Struthio camelus: one gene and its partners. The protein of the gene in region 2 interacts with the protein of the main gene of each other region in a biochemical or structural test. Links are inferred from orthologs where the notes say so. Each region holds a gene or a part of one and is shown on either strand. Other genes may lie near its edges. The genes, in order: CLDN1, PATJ, PKP4 and TJP3.

Region 1 (8,370 bases), on a different chromosome or scaffold from region 2:
CTAAAGTCAAAACAGCAGTGTTGCCTGCAAAACAATGCTCAAAGCCAAAGGTTTAGCAGGAGTAGTTTTCCTGGATGGATGGGAGAGTGAGAAAGAAAAAGAGAGGAGAAAAGTCAGTTGGGAGATATACAGCAAAGATATTTTAAGTCCTTTCTAGGCAATGCAAACCAGAACTAAATCAATGTGGTCCATCCAGTCTGCCCTCTTTTCCTGGTATAGAACTTTTAGGACATCAAATGAACTAGCAAGATGTAGGGTTCAGAAGAAACAAAATGCCATACTTTTCCATGAAATGCAAAGTTGATTTGTAAAAGTCCCTGCTGCAGAACACTGCAGGTGCCAGAAGTTTCAAAAAACAGACAGACAAATTTATGGAGAAAAAATCCAATGAGGAAAATTGAATTAAAAAGCACCATCACTGGCTCAGGATGTCCCTTAGACATGGATCAGGGCAGACCACAAACCCATTCTGGGAAAGCATCACTATGTTTGTGTTATTCCTTGGCGCCACTCTTGGCTGCCATCGGACACAGCAGGATGGGCTGTTGTATGGCCATAGCCATTCTCATTTTCTGGTCCAGAGGTGGAGCTTGTGTCTTTGCTTTGAAACCCGGCTCATGCAACTGTGCCTGCTTTGTGCACCTAGTCATTGTAGCTGGACAGAGGAGCAGACAGGGGTGTCCTTTCTTGATTCCAGCAGATCCCCTGTAGTAGACTCTCCATTACTGGCGATCTTCAAATCAGGAAGAGATGTTTCCCTCTAATGTATCTAACGCAAGGATGAATTCAGGGCAGCCGCAGGGCCAGTATTACGGAATGCCAGGACAGAGGCTCACACATGAGCACGTGTTCTCTGAACACAGGCATTGCACAGTGACACCTTCCTGAAGAAATGCCCGAGAGAAAAGGAAAACAAGCTGCTCTCCTGCAAGTCCTGGCAGGTGTTAAAGCTTGTTTTTGCCAGAAGAGCAAACAGGTATCGCTAACTACCCAAAGAGCACAGATCCCTGCTTAGCATGAAGGTGAGGTTGCTGCTCTGACTAACAACACCCAAAGGGGCAACATGACCAGGCTGTTAAACATTTGCTTAGTGTAGACAGATGCAGCAACGACTGTAACACATAAGGAAAATCTCTGTGAACTATTAGAGGAGTTTATTTACCTCAACGCTATAAAATCAGAGTTTGATTCCAATAACTGTCTATATGCTTGTGCTTTAGCATATTCTCACTTTATCCTGCTTTTGTAAAGGAAGAAAAGAGGAGGACTAATATGCTTAGCTAAGAACAGGCCAGTCACTAAAGACTGTCAGTATTGGGGTCCCTCCAGCCTGGGGAATACAGAAGAGATTGCTACATCTTGGACAAAAACAGGTCTTTCAGCTGAGACTAATGATTTGAAGCAACGGTATTTTCCCCAAAAGTCAGGTAGAAAAATTTGGCACTAGCACATAAAAACTCTAAGGGACTTCCAGAGAAGAAAGAACCCCAGCAGAGGAGAAAAGGCAGTGATTATTGCATAAAGAGGGGTTTGTTTTGCCCAATAAACTAGTGAAGATCACTGGAAGCAAACAGAGAAGATATTTCAAGTGTCAAAGAAAAGAAGGAACCCCAAAAGAGAAGACTTGTTGGTCACAGGAATGCTGTAAAATTACCAACAAATTCCAGAGCACTGAGAACACTGAAGAGTGATGAAGGAAAAAAAGCAGAGCTTCAATGTTTTATCTTGATCTGTAAATTCTTTGTGATGTCCACAGAAAGAATTGCTCAGTTTTGAAGTCTTTCATGAAACATGAGAGTAATAAGCATCAAGTTTAAACTGTCACTGGAAAGCAAAATGTAGATGGGGTGTTCATAATGCTGGGACTCCGACATGGAGTGTTTTTACTGATTATCATGGTGTTCAGTGGTCGAAGAAACATGAGCAATGGACTACAAGCTCTTATTTCCACAAGGAAGGAAGCAGACCTGTGCCCAGAAACAGGCTACATAGGCACAGAGAAGAGCCTGTGTTGCAGCCAACTTACACTATGGGAAGTCCAAGAGCACTTGGATATATCTCAGCATGCCAGTGGGGCATGCAGTTCAGCACAGGTTAATGCATGTCATATTCTACATTTATTCCTTCACAAGTCCTCATCACTACAGTAGCTCGAGAGCATGCACCCAGAAGTGAAAGTACTCTCGGTTGTCAGCCCAGCATGAGCTCTGGCACCAGTGAAACCTTGCTGCACATCAAGCCCTTCTAGGAAGGATCCAAAGTTGATGTGTATGATACCTGCAAAATTAGCCCCAGACAAATGGGATTTTGAGTGGGCTGGCTCAGGGTGAGTTCACACAGCCATTTCTCCAAGTGGGAGCGCAGTAGAAGTACTGTGCTCTGGAGCCTTCCTAAGGCCAGTACATGAGCACAGCCTTACATCTACTTTGATGCAAGGCCAGCCTGCCGTGCTTACAGCCCATTAACACTGCCTGGTGCAGCACTCATTGGGGACGGAGGAGCGATGGGACTGCTGAACAGCCCCTCAGTAACACAGCATCCATCCCCAGGCAGCTGCAGACTCCAATCCCACGGAAAGAACCCCTTGCAGAATAAGGCTGTCTTTAGTCAAAGCTCTCTGACCTTCTGAAAGGGGAAGAAACTGAAGATGTGTGTTGTCTTAGTATATGCCCAAGCAGTCAGATTCACACCACCAGGACATATCCCAAGACTAACTTTTCCCAAGGCCAAAGTGAGCCTGGGTTGCGGTGCCTCCCAGAGCCAGCAGCACGGACAGAATGCTACATCATGGAGCTCGTGCATACGTGTATGCTACATGCATCTCCTGCTCTCAAGCCCACTCTTGATCTAGCAGCACAGATTCCTTCCCAGTACAAGTGCAGCCAGATTGCTGCCACCCAGGACCCCTCCCCTTGCTTTCCTAAAAGGTTCACTAGGAAATTCAAGTCCTTCCCACACAAAACAGCTGTTACCCTTCCTTTGGCTGCTCAGGGCCTGCAGCCAAAGGATCTAAACCTTCTAAAAGTATCTTTGGGACTTGCACACCTGAAGCCAGGTTCAGAGCTGATCTCACACTGCAGAAGTCAGCAAGGAGCTGCCTGCTCATCTAGGGGGTGGTGTAAGGGTCAGGAGCGGGGGTGAGTCAGTTCATGCTAAAGCACCTGGGAACACAGTCTACTCCTTCGCAGATAGACATTATTGGACCAATATGATTGGTCACACATCAATGGTCAAATGCAGACACTCCTAACCCTGCTCTCGTTGGGTTAGAATGGGTTTTTGTCATCCCTCCTCTTCAGGCAGGGAAGGCTTTTCCCAGGGATCAACCCTAATAGCCAGCATCACTCTGGTTTTTCTACCCCTTGTACAGAAATCTTGGTGAATATGCACAGTGATGCATCTGTTTCATCTCTGCTTTTCCAGAGAAAGCTTTGCTTCTTTCGTCTTCTTCAGCTTCCCAAACCTGTAAAACTGCGGCACACAGATACCAAGTAAAGCACCGTTTCTACAGTTGCAGCCCCATAGCTACCTAATGTCTTTACTTGCAAGTGAGAAAAAATATGCATTCACCAGGGACATAACTGGAAGTATTTGCTACCATGTAACTAGCAAAGATTGATCTCCTCATTAGCAGTGCAGATGTCCAGAAGTTGGGGATCAGCAGCTGAAAGTGTTTCCAGAGCAAACTAGACTTGCTCTGTCTCTCTCAGTGTGTTTAGATTGCAGTTGGTTTTCTCCCCTTTGACACCCCCCCCCCCATCATTGCACAGTACCGGTTAGGTAATCACAAGTCTATTCATTTGCCTGTTGGCAAATCTCAGGAAGCAGTTCCAGCAAAACCCCCTAAGTCATCAGAATGCAATAAACCACAGTGTCAAAACAATACAACCCCATCCCCACCTTCAGCAAGGCCTTTATCAGTAATTACCGCCTGGAATTACACCAGACACCCACTGAATGTCCCCTCCATCTACTTTGCAGTAGGAAAGGAAAGCAGCACCACCCCGGCCATGCCATGAGCTCCCTGGGCCCTCTGATGCAGACAGTATTTCCTCACTCCAGCTCTTCTGAGTCCAGATCTGTCAATGTTCAAATATTCAGATAGAAGAAAGGGAAACTGAAGTAACGGGACAGATACATGACTGAGAAGAAGAACAGCTCTCTTCCTGGTCTGTAACCAACCCTTTTATTCAATAAACTGGGGCAAGTCACTTGGCTCACTGAAGCATCCAAAATGCTCAATCTCTCCTTTAACAGAGACCCAGTAATGCTAAGAGGTGCAGCACATGGTCCTTATTAAAATGATAGCCTCGAAGTTTGGATTTATGGAAGCATTTGTACATGGATGATCAGTGTTTGCTCAGCAGCCTCTGAAACTCCTTTTAAATGCTAATAATTTCCCATTACTTCTGTATGGTTTCCTTCACAGGAGTTTATACCCAAGTGTGCTCCATGCTGGAGAAACCAGGCAGGGTGTGTGCCCAGTGGGAAAGGCCCCCTGCCCTAGCCGTGTGGTGGGGAAGGCCTCCCCTCCCTGCACTGCTGGAGGTAGGTCACACAGACACGAGCAGGACTGACACAATCTGGTTTCTACCTTTGCTGTTTGCTCCATTGGCACATGCAACGTTTCTTCACCAAAAAGGCCTGTTTATTGTCTGGCTGTTAAAGGACGGCAACAGGCAGCAAGACCCAAGGAACATAATTTCGGGTCCCTGCTCTCAGGCCCCTAGCCCTAGAAGTGGGGAGAACCCTGAGCACAACCAGAGGTGCCAAAGTGTCCAGAGATGCTAAAGCAGCGCCGGCGTGCCGTGGCAGGCACCTGCGGCCAGTCCCCTGAGCCGCTTCCCCACGGGCACTGCTGGGAAGAGGGTGCCGCCGAGCGCTGTGGGTCCTGGCGAAACCCTGAAGGATGGGGGGCACTCTCTGCCCCGCGGGAAGCGGAGAACATTTTGCTGCCCTTCTCCCCCCTCCCCCGACGCTGCAGCCGCCACCGCTGGCAGTCCCGGAAGAAGCGGGGGGTGGGGGTGGGGGGCCGCCGCGCCCCGGCTCCCGTGGTCCCCGGCCCCGCCGCACCGCGGGGGCGGCCCGGGCCCGGCCCGTCGGGGGAGCCCCGCGGGGCGGGGCGGGGGCGCGGCCGCCAGGGGGCGCCCTTTGCGCGGCCTTAAAAGGGGCGCGGGGCGGTGCGCGGCTGCCACTGCGCTGCGCGGAGTTGGTCGCGCTGCCCTGCTCGCTCCGCATCGCCCCTCCGCCGGCGGCGGCGCCCCCCGCGCTCCGCCACCCCCGCCGCGGCCCGGCCCCGTGCAGCCATGGCCAGCGGAGGCCTGCAGCTCCTGGGCTTCGTGCTGGCCTTCCTGGGCTGGATAGGCATCATCATCAGCACGGCCATGCCCCAGTGGAAGATGGCATCCTACGCGGGAGACAACATAGTCACTGCCCAAGCGCTCTACGAGGGGCTCTGGATGTCGTGCGCCATGCAGAGCACGGGGCAGATCCAGTGCAAGGTGTACGACTCGCTGCTCAAGCTGGAGAGTAAGTCGAGGCAGGGGCGAGGGGTGCCCGTTCCGTCCGGGTCACCCTGCTGCCCATTGCGGCTCAGGCTGGGGGTGTCCGTCCTGTCGGGACTTGGACGGGGCTCTGGTCCCGTCGCAACGGGACTGGGTGTATGGGGGTTTGGGTGCCGATCCCCGTCAGAGAGTCTTCTGCACCTCCCATGGTGCCTATTCTGTTGGGGGTACAGGGGGGGGTTGGTCGAACTGGGGTGTCTGTCCCGTTGGGGTTGGGTGTGCTGGAGAGCCGTCCTGCAGGCTTCTGGTCTGCCCTGGCAGCTGTGGGTGAGCTGGGACCCGGTCCTGCAAAGTGATGAGACAGCAACGGTGACTGTTGCTCCCCAGTGACATCTCCACGGAGGGCAGATCCTGTCCCTAGTGCTGTTAAGTGAAGTGCTGTGATTGTGAGCAAGTGCTTGTAGGTGTAGAAAATGTCTTTCTCTGGGTATGGTTTAGCAGTAAAGTAATATTCATAAAACGGTGCTGAAATTTTTCTAGCAAGGATCCTTTTCTTCTGCATTTGTCTATTTTGATCTTACTGTTAGTCTTGTGTAATTTTATTCTCTTAGTAGATCACTGTTACCCCTTTGGGGCTTTTCAGCAAAGGGTTGGCAGGTGAGCTGGATTCTAGCCCAGGTAAGGATAGCTGGTAGTTTTTAGGCAAATCATTACTTCAGGGTAGTTTGTCTTTACATCAGCCTGAGATGGCAAAAGGTGTCTCTGGCATGTGAGAACTGTCACTTGCCCTGCTGGGGTACCACTCTGGGTGGTTACTCTGAGCTGCAACCCTAGTGAAGGTTGTTTCTATCCTGTTTGTCTGCTTTTCTGCACTGCTCTCTTGGTAGACTCTCACAAGGTCTGAGTGCTGAAACAGCTTTTCAGACTATGACTACCCTGACACTCAGTTAAACAAACAAACAAAAAACTTAGGCCTGTCCCAATATCTTTCCCTACATCCCAGGTCTCATAAGACTATGCCAGAGAGGTGAATGTGTCCTGGGACTCCTTCATCCTTCTCTAGCCATAATTAATAAAAGAATAATTGCCCTTTTGGTCACCTTCTCTTTTTCTAAAGGAATGAGCATGCAGTTTCCCGTAAACTGTAAAGAGGGACCATTGGGAGTATCCCCAAGTTAGAGATTGCCACCATCCCTTCCTGTGTGTCACGCTAGCGAAGCTGAACACCCTGAGCCCCACCTTCCTTGCTGTTCCATGTCAGTCGTGCTCCTTGCTCCCCTGCCTTGAACACCCATAGGCTTTGCAGCTGGTGTAGGTGCAAATTACTCCCTTCAGGAGTGTGATGCACTCACTTAGCACTAACAGCGTGCGAGGCTGTGGGTAATCAGGGCTGGGCTAAGCACACAGGGTGTTTTGAGTAGTAATTATGTATAAGACCAGTTTCAAGCCTTTTATCTCTGCATTGGGGGGTGGGTGGGAGGATACAGCAGGGCTGAAGAATCTCCAGCGACCCATGGCTCACTTGTGAAAGGTAAATTTGCCTGAGGGGCTCTCTGGCTGTAGCCTATTGTTGTGTAAATTAAACCTGCCTGCAGAATCAAATGCAAAGCTCTGCCGGACAAATTCCTAAAAACCTGACAAAAGACCTCCCGACCTACCCCATTCATCTCTAAGGGCTAAATAACAGCTGCTCCCCTCACCTTTGTTCTGCAAACAGGCCCTTCCAAGGCCACAGGGGAGTTGTGAAGTGCTGGTGACCGAAGTTGAGCTATTAGCGGCCTTGTATCCTGTTACAGAGCCCCAAGCCCTATGGAGCATATTTGCCTGGAAATTTTCAGGCAGCCCAAGAAACACGAGTATCTCTGTGGATGTCTTTTTCCTTGAAGTCAGCAAGGCGTGGCTAAAAAACACCTTTTTCTTTTGGTACTCCAGCTTTCTCAGGTTGTGCCCTTCCCACTCACAAGCAGGGCATGTCTACTGACATAGTATCTTCTCTGACTGTTTTCCCTGGCATACTTCAGGGTCCTACAGGCAGTGAGAAGCTTGGATAATGACAACCAGCATTGCTGTTTTGGTTGGTGGGAGGCAATCACCCAATTCAGCAGCCACACCCTGGAATGGATGCAGCTGTGCAATAAGAAGAGTTTTCATGTCATTTATGTCACAGGGAAGACAGTACAACAGAAACTTCTAAACTGCGATGCTTTCCCTGCCAAGGTTACACATGCCCTAACTGCTCCAGGCCACGTGGCAGGGTCTCAGGCAGTGATGGGAGAAGCTCAGATCCTGCAATTTTACCTCCATAGAGTGGGCTGAGTGTCCTCACACCTACAGTAGTTTCAAGTCATGGGAATGATGGAAAGTTTTGCCAGGAAGCTTTTGGATGTCTGGTAGCTATTGCCATTTCTTCAGATGCATCCATGTTTGGCTGCTTTGACTGATGCTGCACATCAGAGACTGGGCTGGCATAAGCTGACATGCCCTGTTAGTGACTGAGGGGCCTTCAGCTTCCAGCATGGCCATGTTGCTGGAGTGAGACCATGCTGATGTTCTTCCAGCAGCTGCATTCAGCTAAGGGCTTAAGCTGGCAAAATGCAGCCTTCCTATTATCCGAATAGGAGCACGTCCCAGACTGACATATGTGAAAAGCTGTGCATGGCTGCATGTAGGCGTAAGAGGTGCAAAAGCCACCCTTGCAACAAGATTTTGTTACACAGCCTCAGTGTTGTTTTTGTCGCCCTCTGCAATCAACTGTGGAGCTAGCTCAGCTTTGTGCTCCTCTAAGGCTGTGGGGAACAGGACCAGGCAGGAGGGAGAGGTGTACCTGGTTCAGTCTCTGGAAGTCCTCACTGAGCCACTCCTCTGC
Region 2 (8,153 bases):
AGAGGGGTCCTCAGACTGCACCTTTAAGCAGCTGTGCTGATTTGCAGCATATGTGAAAAAGGAACCTTAGCATTCGTGGCAAATCTTCAGTAGGGTAAGTACTAAGGTAAAGCAAAGACACAAACATAATTAAACAAACAAACAAGTGTCCAACATAGAGACAGATTTACGTATAAACATGTATATGTTATCATTGAACTATTTATAATGTTTATTAGAACATTAAGTACTGTGCAACATCTGTGCTGTGTTCTATCTCATTTCTCTTTTTTCTTCTGCCAACACATCATACTATTTTAGAAAAACTTCAGTGTGAAAATAAAGGCATACTATTACAAAACACAGTAATGTACTTACACGTTTCGACATGCAATAGGCTTGTAAAATCCAACTTCATTTCCAGTAAAGACTTTTTCTATGCCAAGGTGATCTTTACAGGTAATATTTGGTGCTGGCAGACATTGAACTGAGGACAGAAAAATTATTCAAATTTACGCAAAAATCAGTCTGGGATTGTGGCATTTTTCTAACAAGCCATATGACATAGTGAAGTAAACAAATGAAGTTATACTGTGCAACGGTCACGATACGCAACATTGTATACAAGGGCTTGTGTGACTGAATTGTTTAAAGCCAGACCTACGACTAACTTGTCTTTTTGCATGATACATACTAAGCAAAATATACAAGTCTAATTGCTCCCCTAATTCTGTTGCAATTTCTGGTTTTGTTCCATTCTGAATCAATGAAGGGTCTGAACTGGATACACAGAAAACATTTTCCTCTTGAGAAGAGTCGAGCATTGGAACAAGCTGCCCAAAGAGGTGGTGCAATCTCCATCCTTGGAGGTTTTCAAGATCTGACTGAACAAAGACTGAAGCAACCTCACGTGAATGCAGTGCTGACACTGCTCTGAGCAGAAGGTTGTTGGATGATAGGACTTCCTGGGGTCTCTTCTCACCTAAGCTATTCTGTAATTCTAATCTACGGCTTGACTCATAAAAGAACCAAAGTGGAAATCACAGAACAAAGTGACATCTGCCAGAAGTCTGCAATATATTACCAGAACATTAATCACCATCCAATGTTGAAATTGTTTCAAAGGGCAAAAATCCAATCCTTCCTCCACTTTCTATTACTAGCTTTCTATTACTGCCTTTCAGTACTTTTGAGTTCTATCTAACTTCCAGCCATGTTCAATATTTCTTTCCTGATTTTCCAGTAACACTTACAGGAAGACTACAAATGGATTTGGTTGGCTTTCTTTTTAAATATCAGTCCATACTGCATAGGGACAAAAAAAAAAATTTAGTATCAGCTAGTCAGTATCAGTAACACCTGAAAAACATGAGCCGTACCTAGACTACATGGATGTTACTGCTTAATGTGCCTAATCTGAGAGGATTATAAAAAGCCGCATTCTGTCTTAGAAAAAAAAATAAGGAAAGATAGCAAAAGATTATGTTATTTAGAAGAAACCCACAGCAGTCAAAACGTATTCAGAGAGTAAAGGCCACGTCTTTTCCTGTCAATATTATGCCAGTAAGCCTCCAAACGTGCTACCAAATGAGATTACTCAGATGCTTGGAATTAAACTCATATTTGCTTTGGTGATGGGACCTAGAAAAACGTTTAGAGATTGCTGTTCTTCAACTGTGATCTAGATTAACTTTTTATTACTTAGATAGTACTGAAAAGGAAGGTTCAGATACTTGTGGGGACCATTTAAAGACAGTTATATGCATAAAAACTCTACATTGACATAGAAAAGAATAAGCAATTAAGCAGCTTTCCTCACTCTGAAGCTTATCTCCTGTTCAAAAGCATACTGCATTAAATACAAACATCCACTAATTAGTTAGACACAGTTAACAAATTGAGTTGTGAAGCATCTCCAGCTACAGAATACTCTGACTGACTGCTTACAATCAGGGACAAGATGTCCAAGATCACAGAATCACAGAATGGTTGAGGTTGGAAGGGACCTCTGGAGATCATCTAGTCCAACCCTTCTGCTCAAGCAGCGTCCTCTAGAGCATATTGCCCAGGATCACATCCAGACGGGTTTTGAATATCTCCAGGGAAGGAGACTCCACTACCTCTCTGGGCAACCTGTTCCAATGCTCTGTCACCCTCACAGTGAAGAAGTTTTTTCTCAGGTTCAGATAAGGTAAAGGACTCAGTAACTTAAAGGAGGACCCATTTTGGATATTACTCTGAAAGGTATTTGAAAAAGCTTGACTACCTCGAGCATCTGAGTGAATAAAATTATTCATTGTTTATAGAAAGTGAAATAAGGGAGATGATAAGCATAGATGTGTATTTTGAGTGCACGTAAAGCAAAAGTGTTATACTATTAGCTAACCTGCAAGGACCATTTATTTCAAAGCCTGAGAACATCAGACAAGCTAAAAACAGGTAGTAAACCAAGTGACCAATTTAAGTATTCATCTGCTGTACTCAAATGAGCATCAGACTTCAAAATCAAAACATATGCAAGGGCTTTCAAAACAAGAGTCTAATGACACCACAAACTCCTGATAATGACATACACCATTTTTCCCTAAAAGAAATTAAAAAGGAAGATTTTGAGGCTCTTATGCCTCATGCCAATTCTTCTTCTAATAAGCATATGCAAAATCTAGTATGACAGAAATAAGTTGTTTTAATCACTGTAGCGAAGGATGGAGCTGAGAGGATATAACAGAAATTGCAGAGATTTACCAAAAACCTCACTTACAATTATACTAATGAAAGACAATGCATTTCTTCATTTTTAGTAAAGCATCCAATCTGCCCAAGTGTTTTAGGCTATCAGAATAATGCAATGACATTACTGATTCCACGTTTTAAAAAGATCATCTAGCAGATATACAAATGCATAAACTGAACACATTCTTGGAAAACGTTGTTACCGTCAATGTATGTCAGAGGTTGAAAATCCTTACCATATGCAGTGTGATTTGTACAGTTCATTGGTTCCTGCGTACTATTGTCTATTTTAGGATCATCACAAATATATGTTCAGCTAATTGAGGAAAACATTTTTCATATCAACCACTACTACAGGCTTAGTGTTAATTTATTCCACCCTCTTTAACCCCTGAGGATTTAAGATGTACCTTGATGTCAGTATTCCTTTCTACCCGCCCCCCAAAATACGAACAGCACGTTACTATACAGCAAATCTGCCAAATCAATTTAATACATAAATACATTGCATAAGCTTCACATTTAATTAGTGCTGCAGTCAGCACTACCTGAAAGCACTACTACATTTATCAGTCCTGGCCGCTGCATTCAAAGGCTGCAAGACAGCACAACTAATCTCGTCTTCTTCCCTTATCTCGCTATCAGAGCGCATTTAAATTGAGGTTATTTGGTTGAGAAAATTAGATCTCCAATAACATCCAAAACTCAAAAGCGAACATCTGAAAACGGGCACGCGAATGGCCAGGATTCGGGACTAGAATAAACCTGAGCAGCGACCAACTTGCAGAGGTCTCAAGTCCTGCGGCCAAGCAAAGCGGAGGACGAAGTTAACTTTTCCAGGGTTTGCTCTCCGGGCACCTTTGAGGCGCAGCTACGCCGACAGCTGCCGCCTGCTAGCAGCCCAGGCTTTCTCGGCGAGGCCTGACGCGCCCTGGCAGAGCCGGCAGCCCCTGACACCCGTTAACGTGGGCTGCCGAGGCAGACAGGCTCGATTTGTGCAAAGTCATTGCATCGCCCTACAGTGTCCTGAAAAATAAGAAGGGTGATGATGGTAGTGGGGGGTTGTCTCACATCCCGCAGGGTTTTACCGCTGAAAATCCGAGAGACACCCCAAAGAGACGCACGCCACCCCCAAAAATCAAGCTTAAAAAATCACCCCGCTCCATTTCCTAGCCGAAATCCCCCGGGGGGGAGGCGGGGGGGGGGGGCTCCTGAGGCTGTCTATGCCCTTTGAGGAGCAGCAAGAGACGCGCAGGACCCCCCACCCCCCCTCCATCTTCTCCTCCGAGGGGACCGGCTCCAGCCGGAGCGGTCCGCGCCCCCCCGCCCCGTCGCCATAGCAACCGGCCCGGCCGCCGCCTCCCAGCCCCCGGCCGCGCTCAGGATATTGCCCCAACCGCAGCTCGTCGCACTTGAGCGGCGCCTCCCGGCTCGCCGCTCCCTCCACGGTCGCACCCCCCGCGAACCACAGGAGAAGCAGGAACCGGGCCTCCGCCGCGCCTCTCCGCGCCGGCAGCCGCCCCGGCCGGGCGGCCATGATGGAAACGAGCCGCTCCCGTCAGCTGACTCGCCTGCCCCCGGCGGCGGCGGCGGCGGCGCTGCGGGGAGGAGCGGGCCGCGCCGCGGGACAGGCCGCGCTGCCCGCAGGGAAGGGCGGAGGGGGATTTTTTTATAGTTGTTCTCGGGTTTTTGACGTGTTTGGGCTTTTTTTTTCTTTTTTTTTCTCTTCTTGACCTGAGCAAACATGGCTCCTGAGGCACTCTCGGCAGCGTTGCAGGCAGACCTTGCCCCTTGCCAAGATGGCGCGTCTACGCGGCGGACGGGCTTGTGCCCGGGACAAAGATGGCCGCCGCCCGCGCCCAGCCGCTACGCGACGGCGCCGCAGCTGCCCTTACTCAAAATGGCCGCCCCGAAGAGCGTCGCTTCGGCGTGGGGGAGGAGGGGAGGAGGCGGGGGGCGCGTTAAGGCGCTCGGCGGCGCGGAGCTGCGGCCGCTCCGTGTGCGAGTCCCGGTCCGGTACGGCGGGGAGCCGAGTGCCCCAGCCCCGGGGGCGGCCCGCTGCCTGGAGCCGAGCGGCGGGCGAGCCTCGGCCCTCCCCGGGACCGGGGGCGGCCCCCGCTCGCCCCCGCCCCGGGCCCTGAGGCGGGAGGAGAGCTCGGCTAGGGGAGCTGCGCGAAGGCAGCGAAAAGAGATGAGCGCTCTTCCCCCCATCCTCCCCCCCCCCAAAAAAACCCCAAAAACCGAAGTAATAACTGTCAGTCAGGTCCCACCTAATCTCCACACGTAGCAAGTGCCCGTAAGTACCGCGTGTGTCGTCCAGGAGAGCGTTTAACAGAACTGAAGCAGGCAAGAGGTTGAGCAAGGCGGCCTGCAGGCAGCCTGCCGCCGCGGGCAGCCCCCCCCTCCGGCCCCCGGCCCGAAACCTGGCCGGGTGGTGGTGGTGGGGGGGGCTCCTTAGCTGCAGGCGCACAGCGGCCCTATGAAAAGAATATTTCTACCTTGAAATGGGTCCGATGGTGAAACGTGCTTCCGTAACCTTTGTTAATAAAGTACGAGTACTAAGTGCCCAGAGCAGACAAGCTTGATGTTCATTAACAGTTGCTCTTTGTAAGGTATTCTATAGGAATTGCCAACCTTCTCTCTAAGGTTATTTTACCTAGTGTCTTTCTAAGTATTGTTTTTTTTTCTTTAATCTAGTATTTGTTTTTCAGTGCATTAGTTTTCAGTTATAAACTGCTGGGAATCCTTGGCTGTTTATGAGACGAAGAGACCGTTTGAGTGGAAACAGAACCTGGAAAGGCAGCGCTACTGTTTCTGGTTTCAAATCTGCTCTAGAAGCACTTTCCGAAAAACACTTAGGGACCTAGAAACTGGAAAAGGTTGAAAGCCACTTCCAGATAGTATTTAAGAGAGTGTCATTGTTATTCGGCGTTTCTGAAAATCTTTTGGTTTTATAGTTGATTATTTTCATGAGCGAATGGTGACAAATGCATGAGTCTGTCAGTAGCAGCGAACAGTCTGCTACAGTCCCAGATAATCAGTAAAAATGCAGACCTAAAATACATGGATGGCTGTCAGAGATGTCTTTTCTCAGCCAGTGATGTGAAATATTCACAGCTTTTGAGAGACTTGTGTAAACTGAATTGGCAGTCTTAGAGTTCAGCTGACAAAGTATGCAAATCAAAATTGATATTCCTTTCGCCGGCTGGAAAAGAAAGGCCAGGGACAGAGTGCACTTCATAATGAACTCGGCCCTCCAAGATCACGATTGAGGCACGCTGATGAGAAGAGTGCTTCGCTCTTTTGTCTGCATCGCATCTCTCGGGTGGATAAATACAGGCCTTGCTCTTCATCACTGTCAAGAAAATTGTTGCTTCTCACAAGCACTCTGTTAATTAAAATTGAGGGTAAGGACCAGGAAGTTAGGCGTTTGGAATCTGAATCCTTAAAAAAGGAGGACAACATGCTGTATGTTCTTAGCATGTTATGTATTTTAGTACAACTGCTGGTGCTTCGTAAAACAGACTAAACGGGCATTGGGAGGAAGGAAAGTCAATTATCACTTCTGAGGTGAAATTCGTTTCCAAATCTCTTACAGTGCTTATCCTATGTAACTAGCAGGGCTGTGTGAGATCTGCTAGAAATGAGCTAGTAAAACAGAGTAGCAGAATAAAATTATTTTTGGCGGGGTTCATTTGATATTTTCAATAAATACATAACTGAAAGCAGACTAACATACATAGCACTCACAGTTCCCATTAACCTCAGCCAGCTTTGGGTGTTCAGTGTTTTGAGGCTGGCGGTAGAAACCTCTTTGCTTTTATTGCTTCTTCTTGAGTTGCCTCTGCAGACCGCTACTCCCTCACTCAAACTAACCAGAAAGGTTTCCTGGTCAACTCTCAGTATCTCTTAAGCCATAGATGATGTGTATTTCAGAGGGCTCTTTGGAACAGCACCGGCTGTGGTGAACGCTGCCTTACACAGTTGTGCGCTTTTGTTTTGGTGCTCTGTCGGGGTAGTATTGAATTACTTAGCTCCGTCCAAGCCTCAGTCCTGCTCGGGCTTGGGCCGTTCCCCTCTAGCTGGGGCGGCAGGGGCCTGCGCTCATGAGGCTGAGCAAAGCCTGCCTTACCTCCACGGGAAATTCGGTGTTCGGAGCCTCTGGTGTACGTACGGCACGTGGGTAGCCTGAATTCCTGCTTGCCCCTGATTTATTGCAGACAAATACAAATTAAAAACTTTCCTGGGTTTTCTAAACCTCCATTGCACCTTCAGTTGGGAGTTGGGCAGCTGTGTCGACAGGCATCTCGCTTAGGGCTGTGAATTAGAAATAAACTGGCATGGTAGAATCAGCTGAAAATGCACTTGGCTTTTAAGCGCTGCCTTTCAAAGGGCAGCGATCAGCAGAGCGCCCGTGGCCGGTCTGAATGTCCCATTCCCAGGAACAACGCGAGCTTCCACCCAGGGCCTTGGCCCGGCAGGTGCCTCCTCCCGCGCTCCACGTCCCCAGCGCGTCGAAGCGGCGCCTGGCACGTAAATATCGGGCCCCTTCTCTTCGCGATCCGTTTTCTGGGCCGTGGGATCTGCCCGGGTCACGTTTTGGATGTTATCCTCCGCCAAGGCTCACCCCTGCTTTTAGTTAGTCTGCAGCTGAAGGTGGGGTCCCCTCCCCTCGGCTCAGGGCAGCGGGGGGGGGGAGCAGAGGAGAGGGGCCGCGGGGCAGTGCTGTGCCATGCCCCAGCGAGCCCGGCTGCGTACCCCCGGGAGTCTGGTTGCCCCCCCCAGAGCCCGGCTGTACCCCCCCCCCGGGGAGCCTGGCTGTCCCCCTTTGGAGCCCGGTTGTTCCCCCCCCCCCCCAGAGCCCAGCTGTTTCCCCCCCGGGGAGGCCGGTTGTGTCCCCCCCGGGGGCCCAGCTGTCCCCCCCCCTCCCCCCGGAGCCCGGTTGTTCTCCCCCCCCCTCCGGGGAGGCCGGTTGTGTCCCCCCCGGGGGCCCAGCTGTCCCCCCCCTCCCCCCTCCCCCCGGTTGTTCTCCCCCCACCCCCGGGGAGGCCGGTTGTGTCCCCCCCGGGGGCCCAGCTGTCCCCCCCCCTCCCCCGGTTGTTCTCCCCCCACCCCCGGGGAGCCCGGTTGTCCCCCCCCCCCGGGAGGCCGGTTGTGTCCCCCCCGGGGGCCCAGCTGTCCCCCCCCCTCCCCCCGGTTGTTCTCCCCCCCCTCCGGGGAGGCCGGTTGTGTCCCCCCCGGGGGCCCAGCTGTCCCCCCCCCCCCGGTTGTTCTCCCCCCACCCCCAGGGAGCCCGGTTGTCCCCCCCCCCGGGAGGCCGGTTGTGTCCCCCCCGGGGGCCCAGCTGTCCCCCCTCCCCGGTTGTTCTCCCCCCCCCCCCTCCGGGGAGGCCGGTTGTGTCCCCCCCGGGGGCCCAGCTGTCCCCCCCCCTCCCCCCGGAG
Region 3 (7,525 bases), on a different chromosome or scaffold from region 2:
AAAGCAGAATAAAACTAGCTGATTAAGGTCTTAACTTTTTCTGTTGGGACATAGATCTAAGTATAGATTTAAAAAAATAGATTTAAGTGTGCCAGTGTTGATTGCCAGACATATCTAAATCATAACTGTGACCATTTAATTGTTCTATTATCTGTAGTTATCAAAAAGCCTGAAAAAATAGTTTCCTTGAACTTGGAAGGGGGCAAAGCATCCCAGTATCGTATTTAGAAGAAGAAAGTATTAATAATCATAAATATTGTTTGATATTTGGTAAGAAGATAACAGTAACTTTTAAGTACCATCTTTTATTAGTATTTTGACTTTCCTGCAGTGATTTAATATTTCAGCTGTTCTCACTTTTTTTCCTTAGTCTTTGTTACAACCAAGCACAGGCAGGTCCAACAGACATTTTTGCAGAGCTTTGGTTGCTCTCCTCTACCTTTTCAATTGATCCAGCTTTGAAATGTCCAGCCCAAAGCTGGATATACTTCTTCAGCTAAGGAGATTGGGAAGATTGTGCATTTCTTGTAGAGGGAAATGTAAAATAAGCAGGAGTGGTAAATGAGGTCTCTTTCTTTGTCACAGAAAAGCATACTTTTGCAACTTCATGTTGCTTTCCACAGAGGTGCTGCCTTGCTGGTTGTCTTCTGTATTGCATTTGTTCCTTTGTGGTAGCATTTGTAGCCCGGATGAGCTTGGATATAGGCAAGGCAGGATTTGTACCTTGAGCTAACAGGAAATCAGTGAGCATTGCTGGGATGAACAGACAAGCTTTTGGGCATGTAAACTCTTTTTAAGGCCTAAAATAGGAGTAGCAATTTTCAAAGTTCAGTATGAGTTAGGACCAGTTGCTTATGAGCTTGGCATCTATTTTTAGATCTTTTCTCCTATTGTTCATGACCTCTGAATTCTGAACCTATCACTAAAGGTATCCATAATCCCCCAACCCCCAGCTGTCCTCTACAAAATGTTAATTGCCTTGCCTCTCGTCTGTGCTATCACTGGTAACTATGGCTGGAGAACGCTAAGCTCATGGCAGAACCCCTCCCGATGCCTCCTTTCAATGCAAGTGAACTACTGCTTTGAGTACAGCTTTCTAACAGTTATTCCTTTCTCCCCCTCCCTTTTCCCCCCTGGGATTTCTCACCTGTACTGTGTAGGTAACTTTTTAAGGCAGGACACAGCAGGAGATTGGTAGTGTCTAGTTTGGGACCACTTCAGTGATACAGCTTACCCCACATCCCTCAAACATTGCACTGGCAAAACGGGGGGAGCAAATTGCAGTCCAGAGGTCCAGAGAGAACTCGTTAGCTGTCGTTTAAGCATTTGTTCTTATCTATAAATATAATAATTTGGAGATTGTTTGTATAATGCGTTTTTTTCAACATACTACATGACAAAATTGAGGTGCATTTTTATAAATGCATATAAAGTAGGTTTGGTTTTATAATGCTACCAGTTAAAAAAATATCTGCATCTACAGGTAGTGTGTATTGTATCTAGCAATAACGGATAGAGTAGTGCCGCAGTAACAATTTTAAAGGACTGAGAGTAAATATAAGTAGAGATTGAAAAGCTCCTGCAGTCATTGTTCTGCTTGGTAGTATTTTTATCTTTGCTTACAGTTATTCTCAATCAAACTCCGTTTGCTTGTTTATAAGAGTTTTCAGATGGGAGTATCAGTTTGGAGCTTGTATTACGAGTATCTGGTAAAAGCATACATTCTGCTTAGCATACATTCACTACAGTTACTCAGCTGTTACAGTTTTTAAATTATTTTGTCATGTGATATTCATTGTGAATGTCATCATACCCTGAGTTAACTGAGAATACTCTAACACCAAACTAAGGATTAATACTTCTAAAGGATAAATAATAGATATGAATGTCTTTGTCACTTGATCGTCTGGAAAATTAAAGTCTTTGTGATGCTTGCTATACTTTTCTCTCCCTCTCAGTCCGTACTGTGATAAGACCAAACATTTATTGCTATAAATGTGCTTACTAGTCTACAGATTTGTTTTTGAACACTGTGCTCCAATGAGGCTTTTTTTTTTAATGGCAGTGAATTAAAATATGTAGTCAGAAGAGAGAAACACAGATTTGGAATGGTACAAAGGAAAAGATTCATATTTGGGGGCTGTCAGTTATGTATCCTTTATGGCACTTGAGGCTTGTGGTACTTCATGCGTTTGTGAAGCATGAATGCTCTCCAGACACCCTTCAGATGACAAAGATCCTTCTTTTTTAAGGCGAGCTACAAACAGTGCCTCAGGCCTTGGAGGTTATGATCATAAGTATGCGCTTATTCAAAGTGGCCTTCTTGCTATACCTGTCTGATCTCTTCTTTTGAATGGTTAGTTTGAAAGCTATAAAATTACTAATCCTGTGAGCATGTTACAACTGGATTTTTGTGGATGTAGAATCTTGCCTGCTCACTAGAGTGGAGTAAAAGTATGTTGCCATAGGCCAAAAAAAACGCCTGCCGCCTCTTATGAGCTGTAACAAAAAATAGAAATAAATTTACCCAAAGACTAGGGTAATTGTTTTTAACATTTTAAAAAGCATATAGCACCAGAAGCCTTTTGAACTTCAATGTGCTATTATATATACATACCCACATGTATATACACATATATATTAAAAAAAAATTAAAAGGAAAAGGAATGAGGAGGAGACTAGTAAGAGAGTTAAATGCATCTCCCATATTTCTCAAGCAGTGCATCTGTTACATTTAGATCATTTTTTTGGTGCTGAGGAACTCAGCTTGCGCCACTGTGCAGTCGTTTTTTATGCTGTCGTTATGGAAGTCCATTCCTTCCCTGTTTTCATCAAATAATTCAGTCCAGGAACATGTTCTTTGTTTTACACTCATCTTACAATAACACTTGATTCCCAGCAGCTTGTATACCACAGTAAATTTCCAGAAAGCACTATATGGTATGGTATGTATAAAACTTCTGCACTAATGATCTCCATAAAGAAAAGTTGTATTTTAATGGAATGGTTAGCCTATAGTGTGATATTTGTAGTACCTTGGCCCTTACTACATCAGGAAATTTTAAAACTATTTTTCATGTAAATGTTTGAATCATCTTTCACATAATCCATTTCTAAATGCTTGTGTTTTCTTTGCAAGTGAATAAATTGTCATCTGCTGTCTTTTCATCTAAACAAATAACAATTGGCTGATAAATGTAATATGGAATTTATTTTAGTTCAATTATGCAGTTGCACCAAGCTTGAGAATATGAATCACTGTCTAGTTTGTAGGCAAGCAACACTGGATGCAACTCTCATAGCAGGTTGGAGCTAATAGGAGCTACTCATAACTAGAAGTGTACTGACATGTCTGTGAACTAACTCATAAAGTCAGATAAATTTTAATTAGGTTTTCATCTAAAAACTGCACAAATGTAGTAAGTCTTGTTTTGTTTTCAACTTTTACATATGCTGTGAAGGATGAAAACAGAAGAATCTTTGACCAAGCACTGAAACGTGCCTTGTTGCTTAAGCATATGAATTTAAATGAACAACTTAATTGTATAATAAATAACACATCAATGTCCCTGCAAAAGTTAGGTTTAGTTTATTGGAGCTTTCTTCTGCTGTACTAATGAGTACAGCTCTGCTTTTCAGTGATTTGCTTTTGTTGCTTGAGTTAATCTTGTGGCTAGATAAATACGAGGATTTTTAGTGATGAGACATTGCTCATTGTTTTTCTCATGTTTCTCTTATTCAGTATATACAGTCTATCCTATCCTGGTTGACAGTGTTCATAAGAGTTATATTACCTCTTTAGCTGCAACTAATTGGGGGCTTCTGCTACCTGAGAAAACTGCTTCAGGTCAGCCCTGTGAGACTCCAAAACAGGGAACTCAGGGAAGGAGAAAATTTGGTGAACCGTCTCTGTAAGTGGAGCAAGAGGAATATGAAAGAATGCAAGCTGTGGACCATTCTTGCTGTCTGGAAGACAGCAAGAAAGGTCTGAGTTCTCCTGCCCACACCACAAGGAGAGAAATTACTAAACTCTGGGGAGACTGTTGAATATCACTGAGAGTGTAACAGGAGCAGCAATGAAAGGTGAGGAATAGAAACTAGCAAGAACAAGGAGAATTAAAGCATTATTTCTTACACCCAGTTTAGTGATTTGTCTTATTTTTCCCTTACTCCTCCATTGTATGTTCTCATTCCTTCCTTCCATCAGTGATTGTATGGATGCAAGATGCTTTGGTTCAGAAAATTATCCTCCTCCTTCCCTCTCCCAAAACAACCAACCAACCAGCCAACCAAAAGAACAAAAAAAAAGTGAGCATAGTGTCAAATGAGTTCACTGAACTTTTTGCTTTGCAGCTGTTTGACCTTTTGATCAGACACAAGAGGTTATCACCCATTTTTGCAGCCTACAACTTCACTGTGGGCTTAGAGGACCCATGGCAGTGTCAGAACTGGCAAACTAGGCGGTGGTGGCTCTGCCCCACCATCTCTGCTAGGGTTGGCAAAAACCACGCTGCTTTGCTGCAGAATGGGAGATCTGGGAGTTTTTACTCCCCAAGTGGAGGAGGGCTAGGAGTTGCTGCTGTGGTAGTGGAGGCAATAGGTATCCTCTGAACAGTGTAAGTGCTGTGTAAACCAGGTTTATTTCAGCAAACGTACGCAGTTGCCAAAAGAGGTGGTCTCTGCCATAAACTGGTTGGTTTGAAAACTAACTCTCTTTTGTGGCTTGGTGTGCTCTGATCCAACTTACTGTGATTTCATGAAACCATTTGAGTGAGTCTCAGTAGTAGAGAGGAGTAGAAAGCCACTTTTTTCGAATTAGTATGGAGTATTTCAGACTACAGACTTCAAATTGAAAGGCCTTACTTTCCTTTTCCTGCACACTTGCATCTAGCTTGAAAATGTAAATGCAGGCCAATATAGAGCTAGATTGTCACTGCTTCTGTTCTTTTATCTTCTAGTTTTAAATAGAGAATTTCAAAATTCAGAATTGGTGCTAAGAATTTTCTCAGATATATACTATAATATGAAGTGTTTAACAATTTTCTGGAAAATGATTTAAACACTTTACAAATATATTGATTATTTTGATTCAAGACTGATATCTACAGAAAATACTGGCAAATATTTACTGTTCTCCTCAAGTCTGCTGATAATCTCTCCTCAAAGTTTAAAAGCATCTCAGGTTATGCTTTTGAGCTATACTTAAAAAAAACAAACAAACAAAAAAACCCTACATCATTCACAGATCTGCAACATCCACCAAAAGACCTACCTCGATACAGTTAAATCCTTCCGTTCCTGTTCATTCTTTGCTATAGTGGAGAACTTAAAATCTGTAAACTCTTCTCTCAAATCCTGTCATTTTAAGAACCAGTTATGAGTCAGGTATGCTGAAATGGGTTTTACAAAGCAGTAGAACAGTAAAATATGTTTCTTGAAATCTCTCTGGCCATAATGAGAACTTGGTATTTCTAATGAGCAGACACGATCTGAGAATTAACGGAGCTGGAATACAGGAATGCATGCATCCCTGTATGTTGTGTATAGTTTTTCAGAGATTATCTTGCATAAACTTGGATTTTGTACAATGAAAAGAATGACTTCTTTCCATCCGAATTTCCTTTTATACTGGATGTTTTTGTGCTTATTTTGAAGCCATTGCAATGAAGACTCTTTAGTGGATCAATCTTGAAGCCAAATGCATTTCCTGTTATCCCACTATCTGAAATAAGATTATTATGGACAAATATTCTGTGGGCTGCATTAACACAGAGTTATTACTTTCTGTTGTATTTAAGTAAAGTTGAACAAAGTCATACAAACACTGCAATGTGAATGAAGTCGTATAGAAGCAATGCAGTCTATTTCCCATCCTATTTCTAGCTATGGAATTGGGAAAAAGATAAGTAAATTGTGCTGGAACTAACTAAATTCCATTACTCTTCCTTCCCCGCTTTGTTTTAATTCTGCATAATATATTAATGTTCCTTGTTTGGCCTTTTTGTTTTACGAGTCTTGCTCATTATCACTGATCTTCGTTCATCCTCTGGGTAGCAATGCTGTCAGGTTGTTCAGTTATACAGGCCTTCATTTTATATATTAAAAAAAAAAAACCCAAAAAACAAAAAAGACTGTAGGATGACTGTAAGGAGGATGTTATAAGAACAAATTTAATTCTTACTCGAGCCTGTTTAGGAAAACGTGTATCTGCCTATTAAGGCATGAATAGCTGAGTTCATATGGGGTCTATCCAGTAATTCTAAACACCCGTCTTAAATTCTGTTTCTTCAGACAGGCAGAAATCTAAGTTAAAGTAGACCTTTTTCTGACCAGCAAGAAATAAAAATTCGAATTTGTTTAGGGTTTTTGATGCTATTTATTTATTTATTTATTTGATCAGGCATGGGCACTGGAAGAACAAAATATTTGCCAATTGAAATACGATAATGAAATGTTTCAGCTCTAGTACTTCTAGAGAAAATGAATTTCATTGCTGAAGTCAAGTGTGACAACTTCAGTAAAATGAAGAGGGAGGATGTCAGCTGTACTTCAGAATAAAGATACACGTCTTTGAGTGTTACTCAAATATGAAGAGTGACAAAGCAAAAAATCAAAGATTCTTGGAAGATGAGCAGAATTGCTATCTCACCCAGAAATGTTTTGTTTCCTGCCAGTGTTTAAAATTAGGCGGCACTGCCTTGAGAGTGTCAGTGGTGTTATAGACTCTGCGCAGTCAAAGGGGAATATATAGGCGTTATAAATAACTTACTTGGGTGAAAGAAGGCTATAACAATTACAAGGCAGTTGATTCTCCTGGAATTCAAGACAGAATTATTTCTGTTAGGTAAGTATCTCCGTGTCAAGTGAAAAGAGTGTAGCCTACTTTAACTATTAATGAACACTTAAATCCGTGCAGGGCCTGTGTAATACTGAAAGGGAACAGAAGGAGGTTTCGAAGTTTAGGTCTGCGAATGCACAAGCTAGAATGAAGTCCGGTGTGTCAGGAAGTGTTTCACTGCCTGCTGGGCTGTTAATTTGGGCTCTCTTGAACGTTTCCAGTAGACTGCTACTGTGTCTCACTGTTTCAGTGTTGTGAAGTTCTCGTGATGCTGGCTTGTTTTTTTTCCTTCGAGTGACTGTCCCCTCATGCAGTCAGAGTTTTAGATGAAAGGCTGTAGCAGATCTTCTGTCTCCATCTCCTTAGGTTCTGACTACGTTGGAGTTTTTTTATTGGAAATATAATTCTTGGTGTTTATAGCATGGACTTTTCAGAAGCCTTTGGTTGTGTTTTTATTGGCTAAAATCTGCTTTCATCAGGTGTGGATTCTCTTAGGGCTGTCAGACCCCTCTATCTCACCCCATGGCACTGCTTTCAGGACCCTAACAATCCTACTGTCTTCAGCTGTAATACATTTTGCTTGGTCATATATGGTGTACTATGCAGGTTAAGTTCTATATCTGTGTGTCTTTCCCCCTCTTCACCACCTCTAGTTGGGTGCTACATGCTGACAAAAATCTCTTAATT
Region 4 (7,763 bases), on a different chromosome or scaffold from region 2:
CCTAGCACAGTGGCTGAACACCACTGAAATTCCCATCAAGTACACTGCTCCTTGCACCAAAACTGGCAAATAATCCTTCAAACTCCCTGCAGTTTCTTCCCACAGCAAGAAGGAACACATTCAGGAGGAAGGCACAGGGACCACTTACATATATAAGATTTTGAAACTCCTATTTCAACCACAGTAGTTACAAAACTTAAAAATCTCAAAGCCAGGTTCCCAAAAATGGACGAATTAAGACAGTGTGTTTATGAACAAAGTAGTACTGCTAGACTACATGAAGTTTTTCTCCCCAAAAAACCATTAGGAGACCTCCAAAAGCTCCCTTAGGAAGACTCTCCAGGCCTTACATCATCCCACTGTTGGGGAGGTTTCCCAGACTTTCCTCTCCTCCACTCAGGAACTTCCATTTTACTCCTGTAACAGACTAACTGGCTCTCTTCTTTTCTTGATGTTTACACCGTGGCATTTTCCTGCATGCTCTTCGGAAGGTCTTTGCTGACCTGGCCAGACTGGATTAACCCTGTCAGGTTCATTTAGCAAGAGTGCAACATAAAGTCGTCCTCGCTCTTTGGCAAAGAGCCAGAAAGCAGATGTTTAGCTAGGCTAGTAATTCGTTATCAATGGCACAAGCATTAAGGTGAGCACTGGGCACCAGTGTAGGTGGATCATGAGCACTTCACCACCACCACGGCCTTCACCGCTACTCCAAATAGCATCAAAGACATCAGCACTGTGTGCACTAGCCACAACAAACAAAACTTAGGAGAGCTGTCAGCTTAGAAGCAGCCAACAAAACAGGATGAAGTTCAGCACAAATCCCCTCTGCTCCTGGGCATATCATTTTGGCATGTATTATTCCCATCTGCTGCAACAAAGACCTCAGAGTGCATAAACGCACTCTGTCAGCGGGCAGTCCTGACCTCCGAACTGCAGCACAGACCTCCCCACGAAGCTGTAGCTGTGCCTTCACACACAATTCACCGAGGAACACCTCTAGTTGCATCAGGTTTTGTTTTCTTTCAGAAAATACTCATTAGTTGTCTTGCATGTTGTCCCTGGCCCTCCTGGGAGCTCCAGTTGCAAGCACAGCTGGGGCCAAGTGACACAATTTGGACACTACATAACTGAGGAGTAAGCAACTTGACTCAAAAAAAAAATCAAAGCATCAGTGAGATTATTGGCTCCATTTCATCTTTTTACTATCCATGTAAGACAGCCTACAGGTTCCCTGAATCCAGATTTACTTGCAAAGAGAAGAAAATACATACTCATTGCTTTAAGCCCGTCTGAGCAACAGTCTCCACAGCCACTTTAACTTGTCCTGAGCATCAAACAAGAACCCTCTACTCCCACAAAACTAGAAAGGTAACAAAGAGATCAGAAGCAGAAACAATATTTTTATTGCTCATTGGCAAGAAGCTCTCTTTCCACTCCCTTCCCTTAGCACTGCAAACTGCAAGTCTGCTGGCCATACAACACAGCACTCAGAGCACACTCCCGGAAAAGAGGTCTGAACGGTGGGTGGGGGAGCACCGTGAGCAGCCTTGGGAAAAGCCAGCCGGATGCAGCTGTCCCCTCCATTTTCCTTGCAGCACTGAGCAACTGAACCAGAAAGCCCGGGGACAGCTCGCTGCTTGTCTAAATCTCAGCACCTTTCAAAGAAATTATAGGTTGCATCCGGCTCTCCCCAAATGCAGCAGATGACATCTCTGAAATAATCACGCTTTCCACTGTAATTTGTTGGGTTTTTGAAAATCTAACGATTCTAATTTAAAGCCCCAAAGACAACGAGACCACTGTCACAACACAAGCAAAACCCAGCTATCTCGTGAAATGCTCTGAATAAACTTCACGCTCAGACAGGTGCTTGGGAGCTTTGAATTAGGCCCACAATGAAACTCGTCAACCTAACAACAGAGCAGGGCTGTATCATCACGCACAAACCCAAAGCTAGCAATTTTGAGGTTGTTAATGAACTATAAATTAGCCAGCAAAGGCAGAGGCAGGTGCACTTGCACAGCCCCACAGATCTGATCTTGCCAACCGAGAAACCCAAATTCTTTTAATACTGCCAGCAATATATCATGAGGCTTGTTTTCAGGCTCGCTCACTCTCTCTTACAAATGGCCTTCCTGATCTCGCCGCTGCCGAGACGAAGCCTGACGCGGCAGCGATGCCACCCTCTTGCTACTGGAGAGGACCCCTGGGGCTGAGCAGGGCCATGTGGGAGGAAGCGCTGGCAGGGGCTCGGTAACTTCTGCAGGCGTTAGAGCAAGGAACGGCCTCCCAAGCATCCTCTACCTGCCCCTGGACAACCACCACCCTCCCAGGCTCACACTTTCACCAGGAAAACGGGGAATATCCCGGGAGCAATTCCCAGAGAAAATACGCTCCCTGCAGGAAGACAGCTTCGAGGGTGGGAACCCGGGATGCCCACCCCTTGACGACCTTTGGAAGTCAGTGCTCCAGCACGGGGGCAACCAGCTCCCAGCACTGCCAGGGCATTGCACAGGCAGGCACCACCCCGGATCTGCCGGGCTGCGGACAGATCTGTGTGGCGGGAGGGAGCTGGCACCAGCATGGCAGCACGGACAGTGGTCGGAGCGGGGAGAAGCCCTGGAGCCATCGGTGCTGCTGCTCTCTTGGCACCACCTTTCCCAATGAGATCCGGGCGAGCGGGTGGATCTCGGGAGACGCTGAGGGGGTCACAGCCATCCTGCCCCAGCAAGCGCTGGCTCCCGGGCCCCGGTGCAAGCATGGGGACAGAAGGCAGCCCTGCACCTTGCCCTGCCACAGGCCCCAGGGCCCCCCGGGCAGCACCCGTAGGCAGGGCCTCCCCCGGGAGCCAGCACAGGGCAGCCCTGGTCGCGCGGGGCCAGGAAACAGCCCGGGCCTGAGGCCACCGGGGGGGGGGCACCGCCACAGCGGGCCGGCCGGGGGGGGGGAACAGGAGGGGGGGGCGCTGCCACAGCGGGCCGGCCGGGGGGGGGGAACAGGAGGGGGGGGCGCTGCCACAGCGGGCCGGCCGGGGGGGGGGAACAGGAGGGGGGGGCACCGCCACAGCGGGCCGGCCGGCCGGGGGGGGGAACAGGATGGGGGGGGCACCGCCACAGCGGGCCGGCCGGGGGGGGGAACAGGAGGGGGGGGCACCGCCACAGCGGGCCGGCCGGGGGGGGGAACAGGAGGGGGGGGCACCGCCACAGCGGGCCGGCCGGGGGGGGGGAACAGGAGGGGGGGGCACCGCCACAGCGGGCCGGCCGGCCGGGGGGGGGAACAGGAGGGGGGGGGGGCACCGCCACAGCGGGCCGGCCGGCCGGGGGGGGGGAACAGGATGGGGGGGGCACCGCCACAGCGGGCCGGCCGGCCGGGGGGGGGGGGGACAGGAGGGGGGGGCGCCGCCACAGCGGGCCGGCCGGCCGGGGGGGGGGGGGGGACAGGAGGGGGGGGCGCCGCCACAGCGGGCCGGCCGGCCGGGGGGGGGGGGGGGACAGGAGGGGGGGGCGCCGCCACAGCGGGCCGGCCGGCCGGGGGGACGCACTCCAGGGGGGCCCTGCTGGGCAGATCCACTCCGGGTGCGGGGGGGGGGGGACGACCCGCGGGGCCCGGCGGGCGGTACCACTCAGGGCCCCGGGGGGACACGCCAGGGCCAGGCCGGGCCGGGCGCGGCTGCCGGGCGCCGACGACGCACCGGAGGAGGGACACGCCGGGGCCCGGCCGGGCGGCGCCGTCCCGCGGGCGCCGGGCAGCGGGTGCCGAGCCCGGGCGGTGCTTCCCCAACCCCCGCGCCGGGCGGCCCCGCAGCCGTTTACCTCCTGCCGTGTCCAGTCCCCCCCCGCCAGCCTCCGGGGTGATGGCACCAGCGCCCTCAACGGCCGAGCCCTCCGCCTCCTCCGGCACCTCCAGCTCCATAGCCGCCGAGAAGGGCAGGCGGGGCGGGCCCGCCCGGCCGCCGCCGCGCTCGCTCCCCGGCTCCGGCCGCCACCGGCCGCCGCCGCCGCTGAGGAGACTGGGAACCGCGCCGGGCCGCAGATACCATAGAGCGCCGGAGGTACCGCGGCTAGACACACCCAGCGCTCCGCAGAGCGGAAATGGCGGGAGAGGCTTCCGTCGGAATCAAGCGCGGCGTAGGGCTGGATGTCGCAGTAACCCGCGGGGCGCCGGCGCGGGACCCCGTTGTGACTGGAAGGCGCCGAGAGAGAAACGGGGCCTCGCGAGTCAGAGAGCGGGGGAGAGAGCAACCTCTCCTCTGTCCGCTCTAGGGGGCAGGAGGCACCGCGGAGCCGCGAGGCTCGCGGGGGCGGAGCGTGCCGGTTGCCATGGCAGCGCGCGGGGCGCCGCGGTGGCGGGGGGGCAGGTCCCGGTGCCCGCCGCCTCCCGGGGCCCGGGCCGGCCTCCCCGCCGAGGCCCGGCGGCGGCTCCGCGGCGCCATCTAGCGGCAGAGCACCCGCCGGGCTGGGGGCCCTCGGCGGCGCCTCGCAGGCCTGCGCGACCCCGGGGCAGCGGGGCGCTCGGCGCCGGCACGCCCGGCACGTCCGGCACGCGGCCTCGTGCGCGGCTCTGGCCGGGCCGGCCTCGCCGTGCCCTTAGGCGCTGAGAAGGGGCCCGCCGTCTCGCCTTCCTCGCTGGCGCCTTGCGGTGGGAGCTGCAGGCGAACCCGCAGGACCCGGGCCGGGCTCTGCCGAAGCGCGGCGGGGATGGAGGAGCCCCGACCGGCCGGGAGCTTGGCAGCTCGGCCTCGAGGGCTGCGGAGGAGAGCAGGTCGGCTCAGAGCTCCTGCTCCGCCGACTGCCTGTTCGGCTGATCGGTCCCTTAACGCCATCAGGCGCCGGTCCCCTGGGCGCGAAGTGGGACCGGTGGAGCAGCACGTCCCTGTCACAGGCTTCGGGAATCCCGGAGAGGAGCACATCGGTGTGTCTGCTGGCAGCTCTCCTCCCTTTGCTCTGGGAGAGAGGGGAGTGTTTTCACCATCTGCTTTAAAATAATTGCATCCCCGTCCCCAGCAAACCCTGTGGTTCCCCGAGGGGTGTGGCTGAGATTTGTGGGGACCCTGTAACACCAGTGACACAGATTGGCCTGAGGGCTCAGGAGACAGAGACAAAGCACAGGAGCTGTGTCCTGCGCCAAGCTCTGCCTCACAAAGGAGCAGCCTGGATGGGAAACAGCTTGGTAGTAAAGTGCACTCCCAGGACAGCACTTAACGCAGCCGAGTAAGGTGGTGATGAACATTAATGAGGCTGCTCAGCAGTCTGCAGCGTCGCCATCCTGCCCGGGGCCCTGGAGGTGATCCCGGCTGTGTCCCCTGCGAGGGAGGGGAGCAGATGCCCTGCAGCGTGGATGAGGAGGCTGGGACCTGTGTGCTTCCTTGCCTGGGTCTGGGGAGCAGCATCTGGCTGGACTGGAGCTGCGCCATCCTCCTTGGTGTTTGCATGGTGCTTCTGAAAGAAGGAGCGGTTTTATGCTGATTTGACGAGCTGTGGTAAAATTGGTGGCTCCACGACCTGAACAGGGCTGTGTCCATGTCTCTGGCCCTGGGATGGAAGCTGGTTCCTGGGGGATTCAGGAGGAACTGGTCCCCCCACAGCACCCATGCACGTGGCTTTGATTATCCTCTGTGGTCTCGATACAGACCACGGCCAGAAGCAGCAGGCCGGACCAAGAACCAATGCACGAACCTGATTTCAGTCACCAAAGCTGCAGGAAACCGACCCAGGATGAAGAGGAATGGCTTTGAGCTGGTACTCAGGTGGGGCAGGGCAGGGTGGCAGAGTGAAAGGGAAGGGGGAGCTACAGGGAAGGGGGAATAAGGGTGAAGGCAGCCTCCATCAGCAGGGAGGGAATGGTCACTTTTTCCCCACAGGCCCCCAGGACTGGGTGTCCCAGGTGACCTACCAGCTGGTCACTAACTCTGTCCCCCTGAACTGGTCTGATCCCCCTCTTGGGTGGCCAGGTGAAGCCATTTGGTCTCCAGGGACTGCCAGGAACTTGGTGCTGCCACCAAGGAGGCTCCACTGGGAGGATCTGGACATTTGGAGCGTCCAAGTGGCACAGAGACCCACCACCTCCTTCGAGAGGGCCAGGCCAGGATGGGAGAAGGACCTGCTGCACCCACGATACTGCAGTCCCCAGTGTCCTGTACAGCTCGCCCCTGTCGGGATCAAGAGGGGCTATGGCAATGCTGCCTGGCCCGGGTGGGGAGTGAGCGCCGTGGCCGAGCTGCCAGCACTGGGAGGAACGGGGGCAGTCACCCGTGACTCCCTCCATGCCTGTGAAGCTGCCTAGGGGGCTCCTTTCCTCCTGCTCTTTCCCTCTTGGCAGGCAGCGTCTGGCCCGCAAAGGGTTACGCAAAGCACCCTGGAGTGAAACCGCTGTCACCAGCCTGGGAGCTTGGCTCCTTCCTGGTCCGATCCCGGCAGGGCTGAGTCGTGACTTGGTGAGTGCCTAATCCTGTCCCATGGGCTCTGCCTGCCCCTGTTTGCGGTTTGCAGATAGGGACAGGGACGGGGACCCAGCCTGCTTTCGCCTGGGGAGTTCTCTGTGGTTCATCCTTCCCCACCAGCCTCAGGAGGGACAGGGTGGCTCTGGGACCCTCCTGGAGCCCTGCCCCGATTGCAGGGACTGAGCTGTGGGAAATATCTGGGGGACTTGAGCAGGGCAAGGAGCAGAGCCCTTTTGGGGGTGACTTTGAAAAGGAGCAGTGTCTCTGTCAGCCGCCTGGCTCACCCTGGGCTTGGGGATACAGGGCTGGAGCTGGGTCCCTGCTGACGCAGCTCCACACGTCAAGGGCTGGAGGATGTGCCTCTGTTCTACTGATTTACACCCCAGCTGGGTCAGACCTTCATGGGACCCCTTCCAGAGCGGAGAGGCCCCGGGGGAGGTCAGGATCAGCTTGTGGGTTGCAGGTGGGGTTGGGTTAGTGGACATGGTGGGCAACTGTTAGAGAAACCAGTGATTCCATTCCTGCGTGGCTGGGACCGCATGGGGGACGAGCGGTTTCACTTGCAGCGGAACTACCTGAGCTGAGATGTGGGGAACGCTTGCTACTGACCCGCATAGTCCCAGAGGCCGAGGACCCCCTTTGTGGGGCTTGGGGAACAGCATATGTGTGGTAGGGATCGCCATGGGGCAAGGATGGGGTGAGCTGCCTGCGTCCCTCTACAATAAATAACCCCCTCACCTGCTGTGTGCTGGCATGTCACCTACAACGCAGCGATGCTGCACCCTGGGGAGTGCCAGCGGGCAAGGGTGCGTTGCTGGCGGTGTCACCCCGGGCTGGACAAAGCCCCGAATCGGGGCCTCACAGTGGGAGGACTTGCCCTGGCACAGCCTGGGGCTTTTTTGGCCGGGAGGTGCCGGCCATGGCGTGTGCGTGGGGTGGAGCGGGCTGCATGCAGGGATCGTGTCGGAGAGAGACGGCGTGCTGGGTGAGTCAGGCTGGGCTGTGACCAGCACGGCCCAGATACTGCCTCTCCTGGTGGGGCCATTTCGGTGCAGGCTGGTTTCTGTTGGGAAACCGGCCGAGCCGGCTCCTCTGGCTGCCGGCCGCGGCCTTTGGCTCTGAGCAGACCCGGCGTTGTGGCCCCAGGTGAAACCGGGGGCAGGACTGGGACTTGCAGGCATGACCGGCGCTGCCTGCTCTGGCTGGTGAGACAGGAGCTGCTGGCTGTCCCAGCGCTGTCCCCAGCCATCCTTTGCCCCGGGACTGCCACCGTCCTCACCAGCCGCAGTGAGGGGCACGGAGAGCCCTGGGAGGCAGCGGAAAC

What was found.
Region 1: the proteins of PATJ (region 2) and CLDN1 form a complex in vitro, tested with the Homo sapiens proteins (2 studies listed by BioGRID and IntAct, with this or other methods). The link is inferred for Struthio camelus from reciprocal best matches to the Homo sapiens genes PATJ and CLDN1.
Region 3: the proteins of PATJ (region 2) and PKP4 interact in a test that uses a peptide from one of them, tested with the Homo sapiens proteins (2 studies listed by IntAct, with this or other methods). The link is inferred for Struthio camelus from reciprocal best matches to the Homo sapiens genes PATJ and PKP4.
Region 4: the proteins of PATJ (region 2) and TJP3 form a complex in vitro, tested with the Homo sapiens proteins (2 studies listed by BioGRID and IntAct, with this or other methods). The link is inferred for Struthio camelus from reciprocal best matches to the Homo sapiens genes PATJ and TJP3.

The regions. Positions count from the first base shown.
Region 1 is NC_090950.1:19,952,275-19,960,644, forward strand, and holds the start of CLDN1 (claudin-1), read left to right. Parts: upstream 1-5,130; 5' UTR 5,131-5,306; coding exon 5,307-5,529; intron 5,530-8,370.
Region 2 is NC_090949.1:35,182,062-35,190,214, forward strand, and holds the start of PATJ (inaD-like protein), read left to right. Parts: upstream 1-4,844; 5' UTR 4,845-5,008; intron 5,009-8,153. Other genes in the region: TM2D1 (TM2 domain-containing protein 1), read right to left, coding at 358-466, 2,949-3,018, 4,097-4,249.
Region 3 is NC_090947.1:46,343,021-46,350,545, forward strand, and holds the start of PKP4 (plakophilin-4), read left to right. Parts: upstream 1-4,061; 5' UTR 4,062-4,076; coding exon 4,077-4,083; intron 4,084-7,525. UniProt on the Homo sapiens protein: Plays a role as a regulator of Rho activity during cytokinesis. May play a role in junctional plaques.
Region 4 is NC_090967.1:411,729-419,491, forward strand, and holds the start of TJP3 (tight junction protein ZO-3), read left to right. Parts: upstream 1-4,570; 5' UTR 4,571-5,519; coding exon 5,520-5,746; intron 5,747-6,318; coding exon 6,319-6,433; intron 6,434-7,417; exon of another isoform or gene 7,418-7,763. Other genes in the region: PIP5K1C (phosphatidylinositol 4-phosphate 5-kinase type-1 gamma), read right to left, coding at 3,813-3,912. UniProt on the Homo sapiens protein: TJP1, TJP2, and TJP3 are closely related scaffolding proteins that link tight junction (TJ) transmembrane proteins such as claudins, junctional adhesion molecules, and occludin to the actin cytoskeleton.